Linked DNA regions of Anolis sagrei. The protein of the gene in region 1 interacts with the protein of each later gene in a pairwise test. Links are inferred from orthologs where the notes say so. Each region holds a gene or a part of one and is shown on either strand. Other genes may lie near its edges.

The links.
Region 2: the proteins of ALDOA (region 1) and ENO3 interact in a two-hybrid assay, tested with the Homo sapiens proteins (2 studies listed by BioGRID and IntAct, with this or other methods). The link is inferred for Anolis sagrei from reciprocal best matches to the Homo sapiens genes ALDOA and ENO3.

The regions. Positions count from the first base shown.
Region 1 is NC_090026.1:17,439,598-17,446,744, forward strand, and holds the start of ALDOA (fructose-bisphosphate aldolase A), read left to right. Parts: upstream 1-3,941; 5' UTR 3,942-4,048; intron 4,049-7,147. UniProt on the Homo sapiens protein: Catalyzes the reversible conversion of beta-D-fructose 1,6-bisphosphate (FBP) into two triose phosphate and plays a key role in glycolysis and gluconeogenesis. In addition, may also function as scaffolding protein.
Region 2 is NC_090026.1:1,351,231-1,358,695, forward strand, and holds the start of ENO3 (beta-enolase), read left to right. Parts: upstream 1-4,232; 5' UTR 4,233-4,341; exon of another isoform or gene 4,342-4,345; intron 4,346-4,812; 5' UTR 4,813-4,814; coding exon 4,815-4,899; intron 4,900-7,465. UniProt on the Homo sapiens protein: Glycolytic enzyme that catalyzes the conversion of 2-phosphoglycerate to phosphoenolpyruvate. Appears to have a function in striated muscle development and regeneration.

The DNA.
Region 1 (7,147 bases):
TTCATTCAAAAACCCTCTGTGTCTTGCGTCTAGATGTCTGAACAGAAAAATATGTCTTCTGTCTAAGCAGAGAACGATCACATAAATTTAAGACTTGGAAGAGAGCCTGTCGGTCATTTAATTCTAATTTCCTGCTTAATATATGAGGATGCTGCGATGGCATTCCATTAGCCATTTGAAAGACAGCGAACCTACTTCCCAAAGCTCACAATTGGGAAGATTCTCCCAATTTTCGACCCAAATCTACCTTTCTCTCATTTATAGGGTTGCTGCAAGTCCAAGTCGACTTGATGGCAGTGACAAAAACCTTTAGAAAATAAATTCCACCTATAAATTCCAGCACAGTCTGTTGGAACAACAAAGAACATGTCTAGGTCATCTACATGACAGACCTTCAGATATTTGAAGGCATCTAAAAGCTAATCATTCCCAGTTCTTTTGGTTAAACATGCCCATTACACATGATTTGGTTGCAGTTGCCTAGATTTTGCAGTTGTTTCTCCTATCCATCTGTTACAAGGAAGTCTCTTGTTCAGGTCCACACTTGTTTTGTGCTCGAGGCACTACATATTTCATGTAAAAGGAGAACATCTTCTACCTCCCAAAGGATGTGTATCAGTCCATCTTAAGAGTGATGACATATCTACTGGAAAACACAATTGCTTTTGTTGCAGTCATTTCCTGAGATATGTATTGCTTGGGCTTTGGTTCCAGGACCTCCTGTGGATACTAGCATCTTTTGATCCTCAAATCCCATTGTATACAATGCTGTAGTAAAATGGTGTCCCTTATATGAAATGGCATGATCAAGGGTTGCTTTTTGGATTTCTTTTTAAAAGCATTCTTTGTGGACAATTGAATCCTGGGTGCAGAATACATGAATATGGAGGGCCGACTATAACAACAACATATAAAATAATAAATAGGGGAAACACCATATATCTGAACCATTTTATGGTAAGGATAAAGGTTTCCTTTTGACATTAGGTCTAGTCCTGTCCAACTCTGGGGGTTGGTGCTCATCTCCATTTCTAAGCCAAAGAGCCAGCGTTGTCTGTAGACACCTCCAAAGTCATGTGGCTAGCATGACTGCATGGAGAGCCGTTACCTTCCCGCCAAAGTGGTACCTATTGATTTACTCACATTTGCATGTTTTTGAGCTAATAGGTTGGCAGATGCTGGGCATAACAGCGGGAGCTCACCCTGCTTCCCAGATTCAAACTGCTGACCTTTCGGTCAGCAACTTCAGCAGCTCAGCGGTTTAGCCCACTGAACCTAAAATGGTAAGGGGCCTCCTTACCATTTTAGATAAGGGTATATCATTTTTATGCATTTTAAAGTGGCAGGATAGTAATAATAATAATAATAATAATAATAATAATAATAATAATAATAATAATAATAATAAGCGGCTTAAGCAGCTGAGGGGAAAAGGAAGGGGCCTGAGGCTTTTAGGAATTATGGGAGTTGAAGTCCAAAACACCGGGAGTGCCCAAGTTTGGGCATGCCTGAGCTAGACTGTAGTACTATTGAGCCTTCTCTGCTCAATAGTGCTGGGGCCTCATTAAAGTACAATACCAGGATCTCATAGTAATGAACCATGACAGTTTAATTCTTGTCATGGCTCAATGTCAAGCTGCATTGATTATCAAGTTGCATTCATTCTACAGTGTAGATGTATGAAGGTTGAATGAAAAGTAATGCCTCCACCTTCGTAACTCAACAGATGGCAGTACTGGTATGCAGCAGGTACTGGCTTGTTCAGTAGACTCTCCTCTACAGTTCCATTTTGGCGGGAAGCCTTAGCATTGAACAGTTGTGTTGTTAAAGTGCAAAGTATGGAACCCTGCGCAGACGGTCGGTCAATACAACTTAAGCAATGTGCAGTCATTGAATTCTTGACAGCAGAAGGTGTCACTCCAAAGGAGATTCATCAGAGAATGCAAGCTGCTTATGGTTATTGTGTTGATGTGAATACTATGCGTCGTTGGGTGAGTAAGTTTAAAGATGTTGAGGTGGGAACATCTGACTTTCGTGACAAACAAAGAGTTGGACGTCCTGTGACAGCAACCACTGAGTTTCACAAACAAAAGGTTGACAGATTGATTCAGGATGATCGTCGTATCACTCAGAGAGAAATTTCAAGCATAATTAGCATTTCACAAGAACATATGGGTCACATTATTGCTTTGCTTGGCTAACGGAAGATCTGTGCATGATGGGTACACAGCAAAACTTCAGATACTGGACCTCACCACCGTACGGCATCCTCCATACAGTCCAGATTTAGCACCGTCTGACTTCAATCTGTTCCTGATAATGAAAGAAGATCTGCGGGGACATAATTATGCTTCTGATGAAGACATTGAGAGAACTGTGAGATGCTAGTTGCGGAAAAAGAGTGTCGACTTCTTCCGTGACGGCTTCAGAAAACTTGTTCATCGTTGGCAGAAATGTATCCAATTGTCTGGTGATTATGTAGAAAAGAGAATAGTGGTAATAATAATAATAATAATAATTATTATTATTATTATTATTATACTTTATTTATTTATACCATCTCCCCAAGGGACTCGGTGCAGCTTACATGAGGCCAAGCCCACAATACATCAATAACAAGAGCAATAAGAAAAACAATCAATACAATACAATTAATCATTGAATCATAGAATCAAAGAGTTGGAAGAGACCTCATGGGCCGTCCAGTCCAACCCACTGCCAAGAAGCAGGAATATTGCATTCAAATCACCCCTGACAGATGGCCATCCAGCCTCTGTTTAAAAGCTTCCAAAGAAGGAGCCTCCACCACACTCCGGGGCAGAGAGTTCCACTGCTGAGCGGCTCTCACAGTCAGGAAGTTTTTCCTCATGTTCAGATGGAATCTCCTCTCTTGTAGTTTGAAGCCATTGTTCTGCGTCCTAGTCTCCAAAGAAGCAGAAAACAAGCTTGCTCCCTCCTCCCTGTGGCTTCCTCTCACATACTTATACATGGCTATCATATCTCCTCTCAACCTTCTCTTCTTCAGGCTAAACATGCCCAGCTCCTTAAGCCGCTCCTCATAGGGCTTGTTCTCCAGACCCTTGATCATTTTAGCCGCCCTCCTCTGGACACATTCCAGCTTGTCAATATCTCTCTTGAATTGTGGTGCCCAGAATTGGACACAATATTCCAGGTGTGGTCTAACTCACATAAACAAAAAACAATAAACAGTAACATGCAGCATTTAAAAACCAATGATAGTTGAAGAGCACATTCTAAGAAGTATTTCTGCGTTTGATTTATTAAAATATTCCCATCCAAACCCACGTAATGAAGGTGGAGGCATTACTTTTCATTCAACCCTTGTCTTATTATTGCTGAGCCTTTCCCAATCCAGAATGGGCAGATAGATAGAACCTCAGTTGTCTTGCAGTTCCACCCAGGGGCAGCAGGTGGCGCTGAGGGACAAGTGGACATACAATGGAGCTGAAATGGAAGCCTTACATTGCAAGCTTGAGTTTTTAGTAGAGGAAGAAAGCAGCTTAGGGGCACAAAGTGGGCAAGATGGTGGGTGGAAGGAAACATGAACCACATGGGCATTGAGTCCCATGACCCTTCTGACCTGGGACTGCAAGGAAGGGAAGGAAGCATGGAACACATGAGCATTGGGGCCAAAAGGGTGACTCCAAAGCATTGGTGCCATTTGCACAGGGTCTGGTGCAACCTTTCAATCAGGGGAGCGTTGTTTTTCTAGGTGGAGGCCAGACTTTGGAAGGGAAGGAGCCATGACCCTCCCTCCACTCTCCCATCCTCTTTCCCCGTGACTGGCCCGCTGTCCCTTTGCTCTTTGGGAATGTCAGGGGCCTCGTCTTTCACATTCCGAGGACCCGGGCCCCTATTTTTAGCCTGCCCTGCGAAAGGCCAGGGGTCGAAGAGAAGGTTAGCCTGGCCCTTCCCACCCCTCGGAGCCCCCTTCTTATAGCCCCAGCGCTGGCTTTGCCCCTGCCAGTCACCCAGCACCCTCCGGAGACGCCGCCGTGTCCTGCCAGAGCCCCTCTCGTGCCCACCGGTACGTTTGGGGTGCGGGATGAGGGGTCTTTTTTGACCAGGGAAGGAGTAAGGCTTGCTTTGGGGATAGCAAGCATTGGCACAAGGCCCTCCAAGGCAGATCAGAACTGGGGAAAGGAAACTTTGGGGACTACAACTAACAAATGCTAAGGAGGGTTGGGGATTATGGGACCTGCAAAATATCCATCATTCTCAGCTCTGGTTGGGTGGTTATACCCACTCGTATATACTCGTATATTTCAGAAAGGTCTGCTTTCCTAAATGAAAGTGTTTACATATATATATATATATTTAAAATATAGGTTTACATTTTGTCTCCTTGAAGACTTAGATCGTACTGTTGAGTTGTATTGTGTCTCCAATTCATTTTTAAGGTAGTCCTATCCTATAACAGGGAGCCCCCAATGGCGCAGTGGGTTAAACCGCTGAGCTGCTGAACTTGCTTACCTAATGGTCACAGGTTCGAATCTGGGGAGGGGGTGAGCTCCCACTGTTAGCCCCAGCTTCTGCCAACCTAGCAGTTTGAAAACATGCAAATGTGAGTAGATAAATAGGTACCGCTGCGGAGGGAAGGTAACAGCGCTCCATGCAGTCATGCCAACCACATGACCTTGGAAGTGTCTATGGACAACGCTGGCTCTTTGGCTTAGAAATGGAGATGAGCACCAACCCCCAGAGTTGAACACGACTGGTCTTAATGTCAGGAAAAAATCTTTACCTTTACCTTATGGTGCTTCCAATTCATTTTTGATTGAGGTAGTCCTGTCCTATCACAGGGTTTTCTTTCTCTGCCCTGGAGTGTGGTAGAAGCGCCTTTGGAGGCTTGTAAACAGAGGCTGGATGGCCATCTGTCGGGGGTGCTTTGGATGTGGTTTTCCTGCTTGGCAGGGGGTTGGACTGGATGGCCCATGAGGTCTTTTCCAACTTTAGGATTCTATTATTCTAAGGGGTTTGCCATGGCCTCCCTCTGAGGCTGAGAGAGTGTGACACACTCGGTAGGTTTCCATGGCTGAGTGAGGATTCAAACTCTGGACTGCAGAGTCCTATAGTATATCTATGCTGTAAAAGTAATGCACTTTGATGCCACTTTAACTACTATTGCTCAATACTATGTAATAATGGAAGCTGTAGTTTTACAAGGTCTTCTCTACCTAATGCTGCTAGCTCCTTACCAATCTACAATTCCAATTATTCTATAGCATTGATCCATAGGAGTAAAGCTGCAGTGGCGCAATGGGTTAAACCCATGTGCCGGCTGAACTGCTGACCTGAAGGTTGCCTGTTCAAATCCGCGAGACAGGGTGAGATCCCATCTGTCAGCTCTAGCTTGCGAGGACATGAAAGAAGGATGGTAACACATCCCCTGGGCAACATCTCTGTAGATGGCCAATTCTCTCACACCAGAAGCGACTTGCAGTATGTTCTCAAGTTGCTTCTGACACGATAAAAAATCCATAGCAGTTAAGTTGGCACCAAACTGCGTTCATTCTAGAGTGTAGAAGCATCCCTTATCCTGACAAGGTTTGTTCAGAAGGGTTTGCTATGGTGTTCCTCTGAAGCTGAGAGAGTGTGACTCAGCCATAGGTTTCCAATGCTTTTAGGTCAACAGTCCAGCCGGCACATGGGTTTAACCCATTTTAATATAAGCTGCTTTGAGTCTCCTTTGTGGACAGAAAAAGTGGTGTAAGTAAACATAATAATAATAATAATAATAATAATAATAATAATAATTCCATAGCTGAATGCATATTTGAACCCTGGTCGCAAAAGTCCTAGTCCAAAGCTCAAATGCCACGCTGGCTCATTTAGCACTTCTTTAAATGGATAGTCAAGTTCCTCCCTTTCATTTTAAATCTGGCTTACGAACCAGCATTAAATCAATACCCTTGCAGGGCTTTAAATATTAGTGGATGGGCACTTCCCATTTGTCCTTACACATTCCTTCACTTTTATTAGTCTGTTGCTCTTTGCTTGGTAAGTCTGAACCAACCCTCCTCACTGAGTCTACGGTATTTGCTTCTTCCTCCATTTAAGTCCATAGCGGCTGTTGACTCACAGTTTCCCCTCCCAACACTATTATCTCACACCGGCGTTTCCTCCTTTGCTGCAATGACTTGCAAAAGTCTTGCACAGTTACTATTTGTTCAGGGTTTTATTCACATCAATGCATCTAGAGCGGCATTCTTCTGCCCAGGTTTTCCCCTTAACACTTTCTGATTTATTGTTGTTTACTTTTCAAGCCCTTTCTGGCTTACGGCAACCCTATCATGGGGCTTTCTTGGCAGGATTTGTGGAGAAGGCTGTTCTTTGAGGCTGAGAGAGTGTGACTTGCCCTAGTTCACCCTCTAGGTTTTCATGGCTGAGCAGGGGATTCGAACCCTGGTCTCCAAAGTCCTAATCCAACCCTCAAGCCACTTTTATATATTGCACTTGCTATACTTTAAGAGATATAAAACAATCCTATAGCAACACTCAAAATAAAGCACACCACTAAAAAAAAAAAAAAACAGGGGAAGTCCAGACAGAAAACAATCAGAGCCAGCTAACACCTCCCAACAAAGGATTCCCTCCAGCAGGAAGCAACCAATACCGTAGATTTTCTATTTGAGTTACAGATGCAGGGAATTATTTTATTTAAAAATAAAAATGATCTTATGCAGGAAAACACATGGAAAGAGATAAAAAGAGGACAAAAAAAGGCTAAGCAGCAGTAGACATCCCTATATAATAAGCTTACCAAGAGTTCTTGAAGGATGCCTCCAGGCAGGAAGCAGCCAGGCTTTAAAGCTGCAAGGCCATTCAATGCTAATCAATGTGGCCAATTACAGCATCCACACTTGCCTCAAACAGACAAGAGTTCTTTCTCCCACCCTGGACATTACACAGATACCTCACTTGCCTAGTTTCCAACCAGCCTCCTAACCTCTGCCATTGATGTGGGTGAAACTTCAGGAGAGGATGCTTCTGGAACATGGCCATACAGCCCGGAATACTCACAGCAACCCAATCCTATAGCGTCTTAGACCAATTGAGAAAAATAAATTTCTAGCATAAGCTTTGATGGACTTTCATCATACGCAATCAATGCGTCAGTGCCATG
Region 2 (7,465 bases), about 16 Mb from region 1:
TTGCTGAGGTGTTCCAGCGAGTGTCTCTGTAGATCTTAGAAAACTATTTCTTGATTTAAGTCGTTGATGTGCTGGCTGATACCCAAACAAGGGATGGATTGGAGATGTCTCTGCCTTGGTCCTTTCACTATTGGCTGCTACTTCCCGGCGGATGTGCGAGCTGGATCATAGTGAAGGCTGAGCGAAGGAAGAGAGAGGCTTTTGAACTGTGGTGCTGGTGGAAAGTTCTAAGAGTGCCTTGGACCGTGAGAAGATCCAACCAGTCCATACTTCAGGAAATAAATACCGGGTGTTCACTGGAGAGGAGGATATCAGAGGCAAAGATGAAGTTCTTTGGCCTCATCATGGGAAGATATGAGACCTTGGAGAAGAGAATGATGCTTGGGAAAATGGAAGGAAAAAGGAAGAGGGGCCGACCAAGGGCAATTCTTGAAGGGACTCGTTTGGCCTTGAAGGAGATCCTGTGGGCGGCCACGGCCGACATGGAGCTCTGGCCTGGGCTGGTCCATGAAGTCATGAAGCGACTGAATGAATAAACATCACCAACCCTTGGCTATGATCTTGGAGAAGGGGGCAAAGGGGTCCCATCCTATGGGGCAGGCCTGGGCCAACTTCAGCCTTCCCTCCAGGTGTTTTGGACTTCCAACTCTGCACCGGAGGGAGGGTGAGGCTCGAGGGTCTTCCTTCTGCCTTCCCGTAAATGCATCCCAAGGCTGTGAAAGGTGAGCAGGAGGAGCTATCTAGGGTTACCTCCTCGTCCTTTAAGCCTGGGACCTCGAATGGTCCCCCGACCTTTAGAAGGGTCTAAATTTAGGGCAAGGCTTTGGCGGAAGGGCCTGGCACCAAATGCAAAAGAGCCAAAGCAAGGACACGAAGGAAGGAAAGGAAGGGATCCTGCCTTGAATGCAAACGTTTGGGGGAAAACGCTCTGCCCCGTGCGTGACTCATCCCGGCTTGGCCACCAGCCGCTCTCGTTCCTCCTTGCCAGCCAGCCCCGTGGGTGGGTGGGTTTGGCTGGCATCCCGGGCCATGCCCTGCTATTCAAGAGAAAGCCCTGCAATGAAGCATGATTCACGGGATCCACGGAGGAGAAGGGGCCCCCGGGCGTGTGGGCCCTTTGCCTGGAGTAAACGCGGAGGAGAGGAGGACGTTGGATCAGGAGGGGCGCCCAGGAAGACGGCCGTGGCGTCCTGCCATCCATGCAGCCAGATGGAGAGAGGATGCGCAGGTGCACGGATGGAGGCGGCCGTCGCATGTCCCATTTTTAGAAGGCAATTATAGGCAACGGAATGGACCCAAGGCAGGGCGGACCGCTTTCTAAGGAGGGTGCGCTCCCAAGGAAAGAAAGAAAGAGAAGCATCCCTGCAATGTGCCTGTATTGACCTGACTCATGCGCCACTGAATCTCATGCGCACCTCCATTTTCAAAACCCTTAAAACAAGGAAAGTATTGGCTGCTGAATGTGTGCAAAAAGCGCACTCCTTGTCACTGGGCCCAAAAATATGTGCCTTGCAATGGCTGCTTGCTTAATAATAACAAAAAGGTCAGGGCACCAAAGTTTCCAGCAAAGGAAAGGAAAACTATGCTGCAGAAGGAATGCACTTGAATTGCCTTGGTTCAATGCGGTGGAGTCCTGGTGTGTGTGTGTGTGTGGGGGGGGGGGGGGGGTGTTGGACAAGGTCTTGAGCCTTCTTTGCCAACGAATGCTGGTGCCTCGCCACCAAGATTACCGTATGATGTGAATCATATAAGGCACACCCTAATTTTGGTGAGGTAATTCAGCCAAAAAAAGGTGAGCGTTACATTCAAATAAATATGGATGTCCCACTTTTCTCCCAACAAAGGATCCAAAGCCATTCTCCCAATAATAATAATAATAATAACAATAACAACAACAACCAATAATAATAATAATCATCATCATCATCATCTATAATAACCCTAAATAATAACCTATAATAATAATAATAATGTTTGACCCACCTTAATAATAATAATAATCTTTAATAAACCTAAATAATAATAATAATAATAATAATAATAATAATAATAATGTATGACCCACCTCTCCCTGCGGCTCGAAGCAGGATGCAACATCTTAAAATAAGAGATAAGACACTAATAATAATAATAATAATAATAATAATAATAATAATAATGTATTACCTGCCTCTCCCTGCAACTCGAGGTGACAGATAGACAATAATAATAACAATAATAATAATAATAATAATAATAATAATAATGTATTACCTGCCTCTCCCTGCAGCTTGAGGTGACATATAGACAGTAATAATGATGATGATGATGATGATGATAATAAATGTATTACCTTTCTCTCCCTGCAGCTCGAGGTGACATATAGACAATAATAATAATAATAATAATAATAATATCCCATTTGGTTGCCATGCAAACATCCAAATGGCAAGCAAGGAGAGCCTGTCTGCATCCCGCATGCCTTGCAGGTTTGCTCTCTTTTAGGGCCATACATTGCATGTCCACCAAAGCCACATCTCCCCCCATCCCCCTTCTCTACATGTCAGCCCAGTGCAGGTGAAAAGCCAGCACTTCAATGCCTTGACCAGGCCAGGCTTCAGAGAGTCACAGTGCATTGGCTGAGCCCCAGGTTCAGATCCTCCCTCTGCCATTGGCAACTCTGGGAAAAGTCCCACTCAAAGCAAACTCACAAGGCAGTGGTCACTATAAAGAGTGAACCTTCTATTCTATTAATCTGTCTGGCTATCTCTCTCTCTCTCTCTCTCCTGTCTAATCTATCATCTGCCTACCTATCCTACCTACCTACCCTATCCTACCTACCTACATATCTTACAGTTATTCTATCTATCTATCTATCTATCTATCTATCTATCTATCTATCTATCTTGCATATCTGCCTCCCAATTATCTAATCTATCTACTACCTACCCTATCTATCTATCTATCTATCTATCTATCTAATCTATGACACAATTATCTATCTACCTCCCATCAATCTATCATCTGCCTACCTATCTTATCCTATCTACCTACATATCTTACAGTTATTCTATCCATCCATTCATCCATCTATCCATCCATCTTGCGTATCTACCTCCCAATTATCTAATCTATCTACTACCTACCCTATCTATCTAATCTAATCTATCACACAGTTATCTATCTGCCTCCCATCTAATCTATCTACTATCTATCCTATCTACCTACCTACCCATCCATCCTTCCGTCTACTGCACAGTTATCTTACCTATCTATCTACCTCGATAATCAACTATCTATCTATCTATCTATCTATCTATCTATCTAATTATGACACAATTATCTATCTACCGCCCATCTAATCTATCATCTGCCTACCTATCCTACCTACCTACCTACCTACCTACCTACCTACATATCTTACAGTTAATCTATCTATCTATCTATCTATCTATCTATCTATCATCTATCCATCCATCTATCTATCCATCTATCTATCTTGCGTATCTACCTCCCAATTATCTAATCTATCTACTACCTACCTTAGCTATCTACCTATCCTATCTATCTATCTATCTATCTATCTATCTATCTATCTATTTATCTACCTCCCATATAATCTATCATCTACTTATCCTATCCTATCTATCTATTGATCAATAGTACAGTTAACAATTATCTATCTATCTACCTCCCATATAATCTATCATCTTCCTATCCTATCCTATATATCGATTGATAGTACAGTTAACTTATCTATTTACCTCTCATTTAATCTTTCCCACCTATTTATCTATCTATTTATCTTGTGTATCTAGTTCCCAATTATCTAATCTTATCTATCTATCTATCTATCTATCTATCTATCTATCTATCTATCTTTTTATCTACCTACCTACCTATCTATCTATCTATCTATCTATCTATCTATCTATCTTTTTATCTACCTACCTACCTACCTACCTACCTACCTACCTATCTATCTATCTATCTATCTATCTATAGATCTGTGCAGTCTTTTTTTTTCTTTGCCTGCCTGTGGCATTTCTGTGCCACCTCTCCGCCCACCAAGAACCTCGGAGACGATGTTAGAACAGCTCGGAACATTTCAAATATCAACTGCAGGGATCACGACTTCTCAAACAAATTAAAGCACGCCTGACAAAAAGTCGTGCAAAAACTCTGCCGGGCCCTCCCCCCTCCCTCCCTCCCCCTGGGCCAAAGAAGGGGGGGCGTGCCTGCTCCTGGTGGACCCTGGCTATAAAGGGCCGAGTCCAGCCTCTCCGGCCACTGTCCGCAGCTCCAGCAGACAGACACAATTCCCCCCAGAGAGCCCCAGGAAACAGCAGCAGAAGAAAGAAAGTGAGTGAGTGCATGGAGAGACCCCAGACCCATTGAGAAGGGGCATGGGTCAACTTGGGCCCTTTTTCCAGGTGTTTTGGACTCCAACTCCCACCATTCCTCACAGCCTCAGGCCCTTTCCTTTTGGAAGGGGCCTGAGGCTGTGAGGAATGGTGGGAGTTGGAGTCCAAAACACCTGGAAGGAGGGCCAAAGTTTGCTACTTCTTGCTTTTTTTGGGGAGGGGGGGATCTTCTGCTTGCAAGAGTCTTCTCCAGCGCTGACCTTTCCCAGCTCTTTACCGAAAGAGAGCAGGAGGCAAGGGGGGGGGTCTATATTTAGCCTTGGCAGCTGCCCTTCTGCCTCCTGGGGAATGCAGGCCCAGGGAGGACTATTTGGGGGATCTCTTTGAGTCTATATGGGGGGAAAAAAGGGGGAGAGACCTCCTCCTCGGACCCCCACTTGACCCTCTCGTTCTCTCTGTCTCTCCACAGCCATGTCTATCCAGAAGATCCACGCCAGGGAGATCCTCGACTCCCGGGGCAACCCCACCGTGGAGGTGGACCTGCACACCGGCAAAGGTCAGTCTCCGTTGGCAGCCAGCAAGCAAGCCCACACCCCTGACCTTTCCTTTTCAGGGTCAGCCAAGGTGCCCCCATTGACCCTACCCTCTCTCTCTCTTTTTGAATCTGGGAACAAAGAGGACACACTCAGCACCGTGAAGGAACACAAATAATACACTTTTTATACCTGACTACCAATGCAAATGCATTGCATGTAAACCTATCCAACTATTGTCCTATCTATTTACCTCTTATCTCATCTAATATAATATATCTATTTATCTGCATCATCAATTCTGTCTATTTTGTCTGTCTATTTTCCTACCTACCCAACTTTCTGTCTGTTTGTCCTATCTCTCTCTCTCCCACCCAATCTATCTATCCATTTATCTACATCATCAATTCTATCTGTCTATTCTAAGGAGCCCCTGGTATACAGGACTGCTGTACCAAAAGGTCAGTGGTTCAAATGCTGCAAGTCGCTTCTGGTTGCATTTGCAGCATTTCATCTATTCTGATGATCGTGCCATTACTGCTCAAGCAGGGAGCTTTGAGATGGTAGAACAGAAGCTCTCCGAAGCTCTAGGTGCCCTTACTGCCTATTACAGGGAAAACCAGCTGATCCCCAACCCATCTAAAACACAGACATGTGCCTTTCATCTCAAGAACAGACAACCATCCCGAGCTCTGAGGATTATTACCTGGGAAGGAATCCCACTGGAGCATTGCAGCGCACCCAAATACCTGGGAGTCACTCTGGACCGTTCTCTGACCTACAAGAAGCACTGCCTGAACATCAAGCAAAAAGTGGGTGCTAGAAACAATATCATACAAAAGCTGACTGGCACAACCTGGGGATCACAACCAGGCACAGTGAAGACATCTGCCCTTGCGCTATGCTACTCTGCTGCTGAGTATGCATGCCCAGTGTGGAACACATCTCACCATGCTAAATCAGTGGATGTGGCTCTTAATGAGACATGCCGCATTATCACGGGGTGTCTGCGCCCTACACCACTGGAGAAATTACACTGCTTAGCCGGTATTGCACCACCTGACATCCGCCGGGAAGGAGCAGCCAAGAGTGAAAGGACCAAGGCAGAGACATCTCCAGTTCATCCCATGTTTGGGTATCAGCCAGCACGCCAACGACTTAAATCAAGAAACAGTTTTCTAAGATCTACAGAGACACTAGCTGGAACACCTCAGCAAGCGAGAGTCCAAAAGTGGCAGGCTCAAACCCAGAACCTCAATCCATGGCTGATATCAAATGAGAGACTCCCCCCCTCCTGGGCACACAGAAGAAGACTGGGCCACTTGGAAGGCGCTGAACAGACTGCGCTCTGGCACCACAAGATGCAGAGCCAACCTTCAGAAATGGGGCTACAAAGTGGAATCCTCGACATGTGAGTGTGGAGAGGAGCAAACCACTGACCACCTGCTGCAATGCACCCTCAGCCCTGCCACATGCACCATGGAGGACCTTCTTGCGGCAACACCAGAGGCACTCCAAGCGGCCAGAGACTGCTCAAAGGACATTTAATCAACTGCCAAGCTTGCAAACTTTGTGTTTTGTCTGTTTGTTTGTCTGTTTGTTTGTTTGTTTTGTTCTGTTAGAAATGTAATACAATTGTCTGGTTGCCCCTGACACGATAAATAAAGTGGTGGTTCAAATCCAGGGAGTGGGCTGAGCTCCCATCTGTCATCTCCAGCTTCTCATGTGGGGACACGAGAGAAGCCTCCTACACGGATGATAAAACATCTGGGTGTCCCCTGAACAACATCCTTGCAGACGGCCAATTCTATTGCACCAAAAGCAACTTGCAGTTTCTCAAGTCGTTCCTGACACGGAAAAAAAATCTATCTATTGGCATCATCAATTTCATCTATGTATTCTACCTGTCTATTCTTCCTGTCTGTTTTGTCTTTTCTATCTATTTACCTACCTACCGAACTACCTATCTATCTGCCTCCCATCTATACCTTTATACCCACACAACTATCAATGCAAATGCATGGCATTTACACCTACCCAACTATCTGTCTGTCTGTCTGTTCTATCCACAAATGCAAAGACAATTCTGCAGACCTCACGCTCCTTGTCCTTGTACCCCTGATTATCCTTGCTTATTATACTTCTTCTTCTTATTATTATTATTATTATTACCCCTCATTATCAGTGACATGTGGGGCTTGACGAATCCAAGGATGGAGTTAAAATAGCTGGATGCAACATGAACACCCTTAGATATGCAGATGATGCCATTTTGATGGCAAAAAGTGAGGAGGAGCTGAGGAGCCTTCTCACCAAGGTGGAAGAAGAAAGGGCAAAAGCTGGGCTGCAGTTCAACATCAGGAAAACCAAGATTGTGGCAACCAGACTGACTGAGAACTGGCAAATAGAGAGTAACCTACAGATGTGAAAGCTGGACCAGAAGGAAGGCTGAGCGAAGGAAGAGAGATGCTTTGGAACTGTGGCGCTGGAGGAAAATCCCGAGAGTGCCTTGGACCACGAGAAGATCCAACCAGTCCATACTTCAGGAAATGAAAGCCCAACTGCTCATTGGAGGGAAGGAGATGAGAG